3 linked regions of the Drosophila melanogaster genome follow. The protein of the gene in region 3 interacts with the protein of the main gene of each other region in a pairwise test. Each region holds a gene or a part of one and is shown on either strand. Other genes may lie near its edges.

The links. The genes of interacting proteins can lie anywhere in the genome.
Region 1: the proteins of CG14089 (region 3) and aus interact in a two-hybrid assay, tested with the Drosophila melanogaster proteins (one large-scale study listed by BioGRID).
Region 2: the proteins of CG14089 (region 3) and CG11350 interact in a two-hybrid assay, tested with the Drosophila melanogaster proteins (one large-scale study listed by BioGRID).

The regions. Positions count from the first base shown.
Region 1 is NT_033777.3:21,346,513-21,351,816, reverse strand, and holds the start of aus (argus), read left to right. Parts: upstream 1-2,215; 5' UTR 2,216-3,322; coding exon 3,323-3,421; intron 3,422-5,304.
Region 2 is NT_037436.4:4,480,645-4,484,959, reverse strand, and holds CG11350 (uncharacterized protein), read right to left. Parts: upstream 2,152-4,315; 5' UTR 2,117-2,151; coding exon 2,114-2,116; intron 2,049-2,113; coding exon 681-2,048; 3' UTR 590-680; downstream 1-589. Other genes in the region: CG7465 (uncharacterized protein), read right to left, coding at 3,585-4,315.
Region 3 is NT_037436.4:19,279,290-19,282,888, forward strand, and holds CG14089 (uncharacterized protein), read right to left. Parts: upstream 1,512-3,599; coding exon 837-1,511; 3' UTR 831-836; downstream 1-830. Other genes in the region: CG14086 (uncharacterized protein), read left to right, coding at 96-344, 409-535.

The DNA.
Region 1 (5,304 bases), on a different chromosome or scaffold from region 3:
GTTTGTCATGGATCGGAAGCTGAAGAGCAGCATCAACTGGCGGTGTGCCAGGTATCGAAGTTCGAACTGCAAGGTCAGGGCCACCACCCACGTGCAGAAGAATGGACTGGAGGTGTACCGACTGAAATATGCGAAGCACTCGCACCTGTGACCTAAGAAAACATACAAATACCTGTTGAATAAATCTTAAAGCATTTTTATACAATAAATCATTATTAATCAAGTTAAAGCTTAGCAGGTGCTGAACAAAATTTCAATGGAGCTTAACTTTAGTGGTATTTTAGGGCTGTGAATGTATTCCATTAATTGGATTTTTAATATCATAGTAAAGTTGCAAAAACCAAATAGAAATAAAAGTGCGTGTAAGATATGTAGACTATTAAATACCCCTAAAGTTGTAAATCTTTACCTAACATTCATTTGATCTTTTACTTATAGATATAATACGCAAGCGAGGTATAATGATTGTCAAGGGCACCAAAGGAAAGCCCAAACTGCTGATGGGCGGCTACGAGTGAGTCTGTCGTATTATTAATATTATAAATAATATAATATAAAATTTTACCATTCCAGGTATTATCGCAACAATTCGCGGGGCTCCAAAACGTATTGGCTTTGTGCTCGGAATCGATACATGCGCTGCGCTGCTCGAATTATCACGTGCTCGGTGACTGGGGAGCTGATTATCAAGAACCAGCAACACAACCACGACACACTCAACCAGCCCAAAACTGAAATAAAGGAGAAACCACTGTCCTCTAGCCTTAAGTCTAAAGATCCCGAGCATTAGCCAATGCACCCCGCTCCATTCTGCTTCAAAGTCAACTCGATGTACCCATCTTATTTATACTCTATCTACATATAAGGGTAAAGCAATTTATTTTAGTTCGTTTAGACTAATGACATGTATGTGTTTAGGTATCGCGTGTATTAGTTAAGACCTTGCTACAAAGTTATCAAGTGCATGCCTTAAACTTTTATTTTAGTTTTAAAAGGATAACGGTATGTTAAAATAATAAAATAGGATTTGCATTTTTAGGAACCAATTTATTATATGCAAATAAGCGCGATACCTATGTATGTAAATGCGCATCTAGTGTTATGTCCTTGGGTGTATACCCATGTATCCAATAGGCACCCCAAGCTAATTTTTCTTTAGCTTTTTTACAGTTTATTATTTATTTAGCGTATAAGAATTAATGTCTCAGAGTTGCAACTTTCTAGTTTAATACTCCCAGGTATTTTTTTTAAATTAGAATTCTAAGGTGTATTTTGTGGGACTCTATCAAAAATTCTCTTTTAGGTATTAAATAACAATAATGAATCAACTTTTTTGATCCATTACCTATCATCTATGCTACTTTTCAAAAATCCCCTATTCCGTGCAAGTCAATACTACGTAAAAAGAATTTAAAATTCCTTGTTCGACTGGATTTCATTCTTTATAAAAACCGTATGAAGTGATTGAGTATGGGAATTGGAGCTTTACAAGGCCACGAAAAACTGTTTTATAAACAGATACATTCTTTATTGGTTCAACGACCCTTTGTTGCATGGCCAGCTCTCAAATTGATACCGCACACAATGACGGGCCTGCTAATTTCTTAAGTAAACTTTGTGGGTCTTGTTTATACAAATCGAGTTTCAAGCAAAGAGTGCGAAGTGTGGAATGACAAGAAAGCTGATTCAGCTTTCGGGCCACTTGAAATGTGTCCCTAAGTGAGGCATATTAATCTGCTATTGAACGCATTCGTTTGCATTCAGACAGTGGCTACAAAAAGTTGCCTCTTACTTCAGAAAAATAAATAAAACGACGTTCAACTTTTACGGTGCCATATTTTTACCTTGCAATGTGTATCTAGTGCGTTTTTAATAGTAAAAACATATGTTTACATTGTTGAAATGCAATATTTTGAAAATCTATTGTGTTTGAAAAGTTGTATTCAGCTACCTCGGGAAGCTTGAGCATCGAATATATTACTTAGCTCTTGTAGTATATCCAAAAGTAGAAAAAATAATTAAAAATGAATGCTTAAATTGCAGAATAATGTTTCAAATGAATGCGCCAATCGCAGTCGTTTTGCTGAGATAAGATGAATGGTTCGAGTCCGCGCCAAATATCTGTGAGATTGCAGCAGTGCTGCGCTGCGGTCATACTGCAGCGGTGAGATACAATCCCTCGGAGGCGAATTCGTTTACCGTACCGTATCGAAAAAGTTATATTCTCTCTCGAAAACCCGAAGCGAGCGGACGTGCAGCGCGTGCCGCGTAGAAACAGATACACAGCCCATAGATACAATTTCCCTTGGCTCGTTTCGTAGGTGGTGTGTATTGCAGCAGAAGCATCAGCGAACGAGCAAAAGCGTCTCTGCGTGTGAGAGCGTTTCGGTGAAAATTAAATAAAACAAAGAGCCAAGTGAAAATCGGTTCGAATCGCCAATTGCCCAGCGATTCATTGGGAAAATCAGAGGGATAAGAACAGGCATTAGGAAATAGTGTGTGTTGTTTGGTGTACTGCAGATTGAAAAACCGCTGCGCGCGTGTGTGCTTTGTGTGCGTGTGATTCGGCCGATGCGTTTTGCCTAATATCAATAAGAAGTGCAAAAAATACAACTTTGTCTGCTGGAAAAGTATCTAAACCCAATTATTCGCCGAAGAGCATTCGTTTTAATTCGATTGACACAGCGAGTGGGCGAGAGGGAGAGGGGCGACTTGAGCGAGGTAATATAACTGTGCAAATGGTGGTGGAGCTGTGAGCAGCAGCGACAACAACAAATGTAGCGCCGCCGCTCAGATCTCTTCGCCGCTTTGCTTTTGCGCAGAGAACCTCGGCGAATTGCTGCGAATTCGCCGCAGCTGTGTGTTTGGAAACACCTTGCTCCAATATTTTAACACCCCCCGCCCGCCGCACCATCGTCGGAAATATCCGATTTTGCACGACCATCGCTGTTTCAGTCTCAGTTTCGGTTCGCTTCGTGCGCTTTCTGCTGCCCTGCAGCGGAAAATTCAACGAAAATTCACTGGGCAGCTTGCAGAAACTCCCAAAAAAAAGGAAACGGAGGAGCAGCGAAAAGGAAAACCGAAAACGGGTTGCGATTCTTGCACTTACCAATGCTGGTTGGCTGCGTTCCGCACGCGATTTCCTCTGTTGCTGCATTTTCATCCAAATTTAATCCCAAGACAACGACAACAAGAAGAACGGGTAAAACCAGGAGAACGGCAAGAAGAAGAGCCCCAGCACAAGGTGAAGAAGAAGAGCCAGCTCCAACATTGTCGCCGCGACGTCAGCGTCGCTGCAGCACCGCAGCTTCATCAGCTAGCCATGAACTACAACTACAACAACAGCTACAACTACAACTACATCTGCAGCACCACCAGCCCCAATAACAACAGAAGCAGAAACAACAAAAGCAGAGAACAGGTTTGTACACACAAAAAATTTGGTTATTTCTAATATGCCCCATTGGTTATTCGGCTTTTCCAATTGGACCTAAGCTCCAAGCGGTGTCTAACGGTTCTTTTTGAAATGTATCTATAAGATGCCTGAAAACTGCATCTTTTAATATTAACCTTATGTCAGTTGTATCAATTCAATGGTTTCTTATTCAGTATCAGTTTTTTCAAAACCAAAGAGGTTTTTTGTGTGAAAATTTATCGTTGAAATTTACTTAATTTGAGTATTACTAATGACCTTTACAATTTCCTCTAAGAGGCAACATGAAATGCTAGCTCCTTGATTTTTACAACGTTTCATATCTCCCCTTTCTGGCTACTGGTTTTTAAATATTTTATGCGACTGCATTTCATACTATGCACTATTACAACTTTACTGAAAATAACTTGTCATATTTATTATTTTACAACTTCACTTTGGATTTTATTGTGCTTAAGATCTTATCTGCGAATATTCTGTATGGACCTTTAAGATTGGGTTTTTCTCAGTGCACCGACTCGCCGTCGTTGCTCTCCACTCGCTCGCTTATTCATAACTTTTTTGGTTATAGATTTTTGTCACCCCAACCCCTAAAACTGGCGACCCAACCTCATCCGATGTCCCCCTCCGCTCGTCCCCTCGGCACACCCCCCACGTAGCGCCATCATCCTTCAGTTGCTCACATGCTCGACTGTTTCAGTTTTTCAATTATTAATGGTGGCCATTAGTGCGCGCGCCGTTCGACCGCCCCGCCCCCTTTGGCTGGCCGCCCCTTTGCGGGTGTCGTGTAGACGCTTTTTTTCCTTATCGGACAAATTGTGTTTGTCTGAAAAGTTCAATGAGGTGCGCACTGCAATTGCACTAGCCCCACACCCGTGCACCTTTTTCCCTGACCAGCCGTCATATTTATGCTATCGACATTTAGATAAAAATCATGTTGGTGCCGATGTACATTACATGCATGGCTTTTCCAGATATCAGATACCAGAATGCCGATTGAGCAGCCCGCAGCACGGCGGAAATGTATTGCATTAGGGGAATTACTCCGGGACGGAACGGGACGCAACTCCGGAGTTGTTGATTAATTCAGCTCGAGGTGCGTGTGGGTTTGGAATGGGTAGTTGGGTAGCTGGGTAGTTGTTTGCCCGATGTGAAAATTCTCTATTTATATTTATTGCTCAGTTCGTTGCTCTGGGGCGAGATAAGAAATGCCTCTGAGTCATTCGGTTGAATAAGGATTTACGTATTTCGCAGGAAGCTTTGTGCGAAAGTTGACAAACGGACGATAAGTTGTGAAAGGTATGTAGCTGTTGGGGTTTGCGACAAAGCAGATGTGTCACCTAAACAGGGGTAAAGCAACGATAAAAGTGTCATAAATATGTACTCACACCTACTACTAACATCTGCTCCAATTATCTTGGGTAGGAACTGGGCACATTTGAACATTGATCATCGAGATAAAATGCGGCGAGCAAACAGAGCGTCTTTTCTAATCTCATTTTCAGGTATATTATATCTAAATAAGATAACTGCATTGAATCGGAACATTATTTTATTCGGGTTGTATGCATCCAGATAACTCAAAAGTGCATATATTATAAGCTGTGTAGATCGAGTTGGAATTACACAATAAAGTATTTACCTTTTAAATAGAGTCTGTTTCCCGTCCTGACTGACGATTAACTCGAATAAAAAGGTCTTACTGTAAAAGCCTTCTTATGTCAAAAATAGGGGACTTGACTGATTTATATGTTTAACATTTGGTTATTTTTGATAATTAATGGCGGCATTGGAACAAACTAATAGACTACTGGAGACTGGATTATTTCCCTAACGAGTAGTTAAATAAGAATTCTGGCATTATCGATCAA
Region 2 (4,315 bases), about 15 Mb from region 3:
CAAACTTCGGTAACGCGATAGCATTGGAATCATTCAACCTGCTATTTTTTAGCCGGAATAACAAAAGTCTTTCTGTGATACGGATATAATGCTATACATTGAGGCTTTTTATATTACTAAGATAAATTTTTTAATAAGTCTGCCTTACAAAATAGATCCATAATTCACTGGGTTTTTTTTAACTCTGTAGTCTGCCGCGAGGGACTTACTACATAAATATACACTTACTATATGCTTACTACATCCATATAAATCTTACAAAGGCCAAAAAGTATGCCTCGAATTTTCTTATGGTTGACTTTGAACTTGAAGCTTCAGATGACAATGCACTTGCTGAACAAAAAATTAATTTCGAAGCATTAAACGAGTTTCCGCATCTCGATTTGAACTAGTTTTTTCAGTTGCTGTATCGTCTCCGCTTGACGACAGCTCGGTATTAATGCCTGATAATCATTGGCTTTAGTGGCCAAAACTTCTTATTCTATTATGCAATATTATTGTTAGGCAAATAAGGGGGCTCCCGTCAATGGGGTTTCCTGTTAGTCGATTAATTAATCAGGCAGTGGAAGTATTTTTCAATATTTTTTTTATTTATGAATTTATTAATTTCGTTTCCCAGATGAAACCCGTGAGTCAAATAACAGGATTTGGCTCGGTTCGCTGGGGGTTCGTTGGAGCCTCTAGTAACGGTGACGGCGGAGGACCACGCGACGCTGGGTCTTGTAGCGGTATCCATCGTTGGAGGAGAAGGAGTGGGCGGGCTCAGAGGCGGCGGTCTCGTAGCTCTCAGCTGGGGCAGAGTAGGAAGCAGCTGGGGCGGAGTAGGAGACAGCTGGGGCGGAAGCGGCACCGCTGTAGTACTCGGGAGCAGAGTAGCTCTGAGAGGGAGCAGAGTAGGAGACAGCTGGAGCGGAAGCAGCAGCGGTGTAGGTGGCAGCAGGAGCAGAGTAGCTCTGGGCAGGTGCGGCGTAGGACACAGCTGGGGCGGAGGCAGCAGCGGTGTAGGTGGCAGCGGGAGCAGAGTAGCTCTGAGCGGGGGCGGAGTACACTGGAGCTGGGGCAGAGGCTGCTGGAGGCAGGTAATCGTTGGAAGGCAGGTGGCTCACATCACGACGGTGACGGCGGAGCACCACACGCTTGTGGGTCTTGTAGCGGTATCCATCGTTGGAGGAGAAGGAGTGGGCAGGAGCAGAAGCAGCGGTTTCGTAGCTCTCGGCGGGCTCGGCGTAGGAGACAGCAGGTGCGGAATAGGTCTGGGCGGGAGCGGCGTAGGACACAGCTGGGGCAGAGGCAGCGCTCTGGTAGACTGGAGCGGGGGCGGAAGCTGCTGGGGGCAGGTACTCACTGGTTGGGGCAGAAGCGGCTCCCTGGAAGGGGGGCAGGTAGTCGTTGGAGGGCACGCCACGACGATGACGGCGAAGGACCACGCGCTTGTGGGTCTTGTAGCGGTATCCATCGTTGGCCGAGAAGGTGTGGGCGGGCTCAGAGGCAGCGGTCTCGTAAGACTCAGCGGGAGCGGAGTAGGACACAGCTGGGGCGGAAGCGGCAGCGGTGTAGGTCTGAGCAGGAGCAGCGTAGGTCACAGCTGGGGCAGAAGCAGCAGCAGTGTAGGTGGCAGCAGGAGCAGAGTAGCTCTGGGCAGGAGCGGCGTAGGACACAGCTGGGGCAGAAGCAGCAGCAGTGTAGGTGGCAGCAGGAGCAGAGTAGCTTTGGGCAGGAGCGGCGTAGGACACAGCTGGGGCAGAAGCAGCAGCAGTGTAGGTGGCAGCAGGAGCAGAGTAGCTCTGGGCGGGAGCGGCGTAGGACACAGCTGGAGCAGCATAAGACACCGCTGGAGCAGAAGCAGCAACGGAGTAGCTGGACTCAACGGGAGCAGAGTAGGAGGCAACTGGGGCCGAGGCCTCTACGCTGTAGCTCTGGGAAGGAGCAGAGTAGGAAGCCACGGGAGCCGATGCTGCTCCACGGCCGGGGGGCAGGTACTGGCTAGATGGCAGGTGGCTGACATCAGCGGCCACGGCGGCGATGAAGGCGCAGAACAAGAAGAATTTCTGCAATGGAGAAAATGGCACATATTAGCTGATTATCCTAATGGCGCACCGTTCCTGGTTAATACCATTTTGCTGGGTGCTCGGCTGTCCAGTTGAACGGAGAGTGCAAGTGGAAGTGATGCCTTAGACAATGTTCTGCGGCTTATTTATATGATTCTAATCACCGGCCTGCGGCGAGAAATTTGCATTTGACTATTTAATTTATGAATTTGTATTTAGTGACACCGCCAAAACATATCCATTATAGTTTTGCAAGCAGGTTTGCAACGGGTTTTGCGCTCTGCTCAACTCCAGCGAGATCATGAGCCACGATTTGGGAGTCCCCCTTTCACCCCCGGCCTAACCGCCAAATCATCCAAACGGCCACTTAATATTTTAAGTATATTTCGTTAATACTTAGTGGCCAAGATCAGGTTCCATTGTTCCCCTATCCGCACTTGCCAATTTCTCCCAGACCAAACGCGTGCCAATTTCGATTCCCAATTCCGACCCACCCCAGCTCAATTTGCTTAATTGTCGATAATTATATTGTGGCTTAATCAACTGGTACTAATCGGGTTCTATGACTTCGGGTAATAAAAGCAGATGTTCGATAGCGGAGCGGAGAAAAGGCTAAAAACAGTTGGTAAGAAGCGAAATGACTGCCGAAAAAGCAATCAAATTGCGGAAATAAATCACGACCTCAATGCCGAAACAATACATAGATGTGACTGTCGAAAGCGATTGTATATCACCGGCTGAAAGAAAACCTGAACAAAATGAACTGAATACACTTTTGGAAAAATTACCTTTTATGAAGAGTCGAAGGAAAACATTAATAAAACGGGGTAATTAATTCTATTCCTCGAACTAGATTCTGCTAACAAAACGTTTCTATATTTAATTGCAAATCGTATATAAATAATATATCCACTATAAAATAACATTTTAATAAATTACATAAGCGTTTAGGTCATAAAAACCTATTAAATTAATAACGGCATATTAAAAAGACACACCATCCAAGAAAGTTAACATACCCTTACTTTTGTAGGTAAATGGTCTAAAAGCGTTAAGCAGGCTTGAACTTTTTGAAGATGAGATTGCGGAAGCTTCGGCATAAATAGATTTCAATTTCGATTATGTGTCAAGTGTATATTGCTTCTCTAATCCCACGTTCTTATGTGTATAATTAGATCGTGAAATAATGAATATATTCTAGCCCTAAAACCTTTTTATATTATTACATTAAATTATTATTTTTAAATAGGTTAATACATGTTTAAAAACTTTGTCGTTTTTTATTATTCTCTGGTTTATATATTATCCGCAAAGATTTATGTTTTATCCGAATATATTCCTCCTTCAGTCAATTCTATACATATAACCTTTTATCACCCAGCTCGTACACCCAACATAATAAAATTAAAAAGAGCTGAATGTATGGATTCGTTATCGTATTATTGTATTTGAATGAAAAAGAGGTATTCTAATAGTAGGGTCTGCACTCAAAAATGAGCACAATTCGATCACCTAGTGAAGCCTTTATCGGATGATTTAGTGGCGGCGCAACACAACGCGCTTGTGGGTCTTGTAGACGTATCCATCATCAGCCAGGACATGGGCGGGAGCCGCCTCGACGGTGTTTTCCTGGGGGGCAAGGTACTCGGCAGAGGGAGCAGACTGCACGGGAGGCAAGTACTCGTTGGAGAGCTCGTTCACATCACGACGGTGACGGCGGGTTACCACGCGCTTGTGGGTCTTGTAGCGGTATCCATCAACGGCCAAGTCGGTCTCAGGAGCAGTCTCAGCGGGAGCCAGGTACTCGTTGGAAGGAGCTGCGAAGGGGGGCAGGTACTCGTTGGAGAGCTCGTTGACGTCACGGCGGTGGCGGCGGTAAACAACGCGACGATGGGTCTTGTAACGGTAACCGTCATCGGCCAGCTCATGGGCGGGCTCAGCCTCAACCACGACAGGAGCGGGGGCGGCCAGCTGGACAGGGGCGGCGATCTGAACTGGAGCGGGAGCTGGGGCAGCAACCTGGACGGGGGCGGACACTGGGGGCAGATACTCGTTGGAAGGAGCAGCAGCCTGGACTGGGGGCAGGTACTCGTTGGAGGGCAAGTGGCTCACATCACGACGGTGACGGCGGGTTACCACGCGCTTGTGGGTCTTGTAACGGTATCCATCATCGGCCAAGATGGTCTCAGGAGCACCCTCAGCAGGAGCCAGGTACTCGTTGGAAGGAGCTGCGAAGGGGGGCAGGTACTCGTTGAAGAGCTCGTTGA
Region 3 (3,599 bases):
TATTATATACAATACTCTATATCAAGTGCCTTTGCTCAGATTTTTCTCTGCAAATTTTTCTCTGTTCACATATTTGTGAATTCAATTTGTTTCAGGGATAATTACCAGCGAAGGTCCTGCAGCTGCTTGGCCTGCTGGCGACTTTCAGCGATTTGTGGCGGTTGGCGACCCACTCCTGTTTATGCGGTCATCGGCATCTGCCTGATCCTGTATCCCCACAATCTGTGGCTGAGTTATGTGGCCGGGATGTTCCTGATACTCCTCGGACTCCTCAGACTGTGCACGCTGCTCCGATTCAGCGCCTCGAAGGAGGAGGGTCTCCTGCCGCAGTGCGACTTTGAAAAGTGATGCCAGCCAACGAATGTCTTTGTTATTTGTTTCTAATGTCTGTTTGTTCTGCGATGATAGGGTGTCGAGCTTTGTGGATACCATGGAGGATGATTTCGCGGAGATTGGTGCCACGCAAGCGGGATTGGATGAGGAAGCGGAGGAGGAGGGCGACGACCACACCGCCCTAGACGACGATGTTTGCTAATAGTTTAAGCCAGCTTTTCTGCCTAATGTAATGTGAGATTTTAAACGACTTAACAAATGTCTAATAATATACAGTTTGTAAAGAGGTTTCGATTTAAACGCTGAGTGCGTGGTATATTTTTATAGGTAATCGATAAACCCACACTTTGTATGATTTTTGGTGTCATTTATAAACGAAGCCACTCAAAAGTCAAAAAGGACATTCTTCAAAAGAATTTTGAAAGTTCCTTTTAAGTATTGGGTATCTGCTTTTTACCTACAGAAATAATTATCAAAGCTATTTCGTTTTAAATAATGTTATTTTAATTTCGTCTTTTATTGTTTTTTGTGCTAAACGGATTTCTGCGTTCACTAAAGGCCAAAATGAAGGGCTGGTCGTCGAATTCTTCGGTTTTTCTCAGACCAAAAGAACGCTCATTGCCGTAATCATACTCGTCCTCATCATAGTAGTTATAGTAGTGCCTCTGGTGGCCTTTAGGGCCTCCATGTCCATGTGATGGAGGAGGAGGAGGTGGAGGATACGGATACGGTGGATATGAACCTCCGGGATATCCAGGAGGACCCTGAGGACCAGGTTGGCCAGGGATTCCAGGCATCCCGGGGTGGCCCTTATCTCCACGCGGCCCCTTCTCGCCGGGATCACCCTTGGATCCTTTGGGGCCGGGATAGCCCTTCTGCCCCGGCTGTCCCGGTGGACCAGGTGGACCTGGAGGACCGGGCGGACAACCGCATGGCTGTGGCTGAGGATACGGATACGAATAGCTTGGCGGATAGTGTGGCGGATGATAATGTTGATGATCGTGATCCTCCTCTATGATCACTTCCTGTGGCGGGGCTGGAGCGGGACTTCCAGTTTGGAGGGTGATCAGCCGGGGCACTGAGGCATCATCCTTGGCGAAAACTCCCCCAAGAACAGACAGTAGTGCCACCAGCAGAATAGTCCAGTTCGCAGAGAGAACTTCCAGATTCGACGACATGCTGTGAACTAACGAAAATCAGATCGCAGTCACTTCTTTTATGTGGATAAATGCGTTTGAAAAATGGCAACAGAGGAGAATCATTCAAACTCCCGTTAAGATAGCTCATTTGAGATCTATATGTCTTGTCTTACGATCGCATTATATTTGTATCGTATGCTAATTTCTCTTGTTTAATAAACCAAGCCATTTATTTATAAAGTATCTGATTTGCATAATATTCAATGAATGAGTTGAGTTTTTGGGCTGATGAAAGAACTTTCACACCAAATGGATGTCGGACTTTGTGATCGAGCCATGAAAAGTGAATTCTCGTATTCTAGGATAGATCAATTAACAGGTATATGTATATCATTTCTGCGCGTAAAAATAACATAAACTTTTACACAAATTTCATATGGAACCAGAGCAATGACTGGTGGTGACCGAGATGATGATTTTTACATTTAAACGGAAACATTAACCATTTTGAATAACTAATGTGTAATTTGCTAACACCTGAGATACCACCTGTCCGTCCCTGTGAAGCACAAAAGAAAACACTTTCGAGACATGCTAAGAATGTCTGTTCGCAATTTTATTTAACTGTGGCTTCTTTATTATTCTTTTGTAAGTGTAAAGTGGAACTCATGATGACAAGAGCCCCGCCCACATAAACCTCAACAAATTTCTGGTTTTTGGGCAGATCTCATAACACTTTTTGCATACTCACGCTTCAGTCTAAGTCATTTGGATTTGTGGACATTAGTTATGTTCGAGAAGTTTCTGTTTTTGTTAACATATGTATGTAAATAGTTGTAACTTTTAAAGTTCGTTTTATTTGTTGTTTTGCTTTTGTTTTACACATGTTTGCTATGCAATAAACATATTAAATAGTTTCTTTAATTATAAATTTACTTTGTTTAACTATTATTCTCTCTTATTCGTGTTTTCGGTCGGAAAACGTTGAGGTAGCTGCGTTTGCAATTAATTGTTATAAGTAGCTATTCGCTTGTTTATATCCCTGATATAGGCTATTTAAGGTTCTGTTGTGGATAAGAAGAGCTCAAATTGTATTCATTATTATTCAGACAATACATAGATAATTGAAAGAATCAACCGAAAAGGAATAACTAAAGTTTATGTTTATTTTATTTTGTATATATATTTATATAATATTACGATAGATATATTACGCATCAACATATACATAGAAAATATTCAAATCGTTTAAATTAAAATTAAAGCATATAAAAAATCAAACATTAGAAGAATATCAACAATTAAGAGAAACAAAAGTTAAGGCTTGTCTGCTGTGTCTGATGGCTAAAAGGGGTTTTTCCGATCGGGCTACAAATATCATCGGATTGGAGAATATCCTTTTTGACTGCGAATAGTCAAAAGGTAGCAAAAGTAAACTCGAGTTGACTAGATAGTGGATGGTGGTTAGTTATAGTTAACTTTTGACATGGTCTCTGTGCTCGAACGGATCTGCTTTTACCGAACAAAAAGTATTAAAATGGTGCTAAGCTCATATTCAGAACTGTGATTAATGGCAATTAATCTTTTCACAAAACTGATTCATTTAAATCATCATGATACATTATCTGGCAGATACACAATCTTAATAGCCCGATCCAACTGGCAATCGCTTTCGCATGACAAACAAACCTAGGAACAAACCAAATAAAAATTGGGAAAAGTAACTAAAAACAGAAGAAGACATTGAAGAAACTGATCTGAGTTTTAGTTTGTTATCACTTGCTCTTCTTATAACATACGACTAACAACTATCTTTGGGATTCATTCGAACCTTGCTGGCTTTTGTTCTAGTTCGCACTACTCTGGTTTGATTCTTTAGTTTTTTTGTGGCGCTCTTACAGCTCCTCTTGCCCTTCACTAACCCTTCAATCTTTTCCATTCATTCTATAAAAATATATAAACAATGTTTGCCGTCCTTGGAAGGCTAGGGTGGTTCGATTTATCGACGTGCAGGGACTGAAATATTCTTGTGGGAGTTATGTAATTTCTTGACATTTCGTACAATAGTTCTTGTTGTTAATAACAGCTCTTAAGTTCCAAAATATCAAAACTTAATCTGCCTTTGAC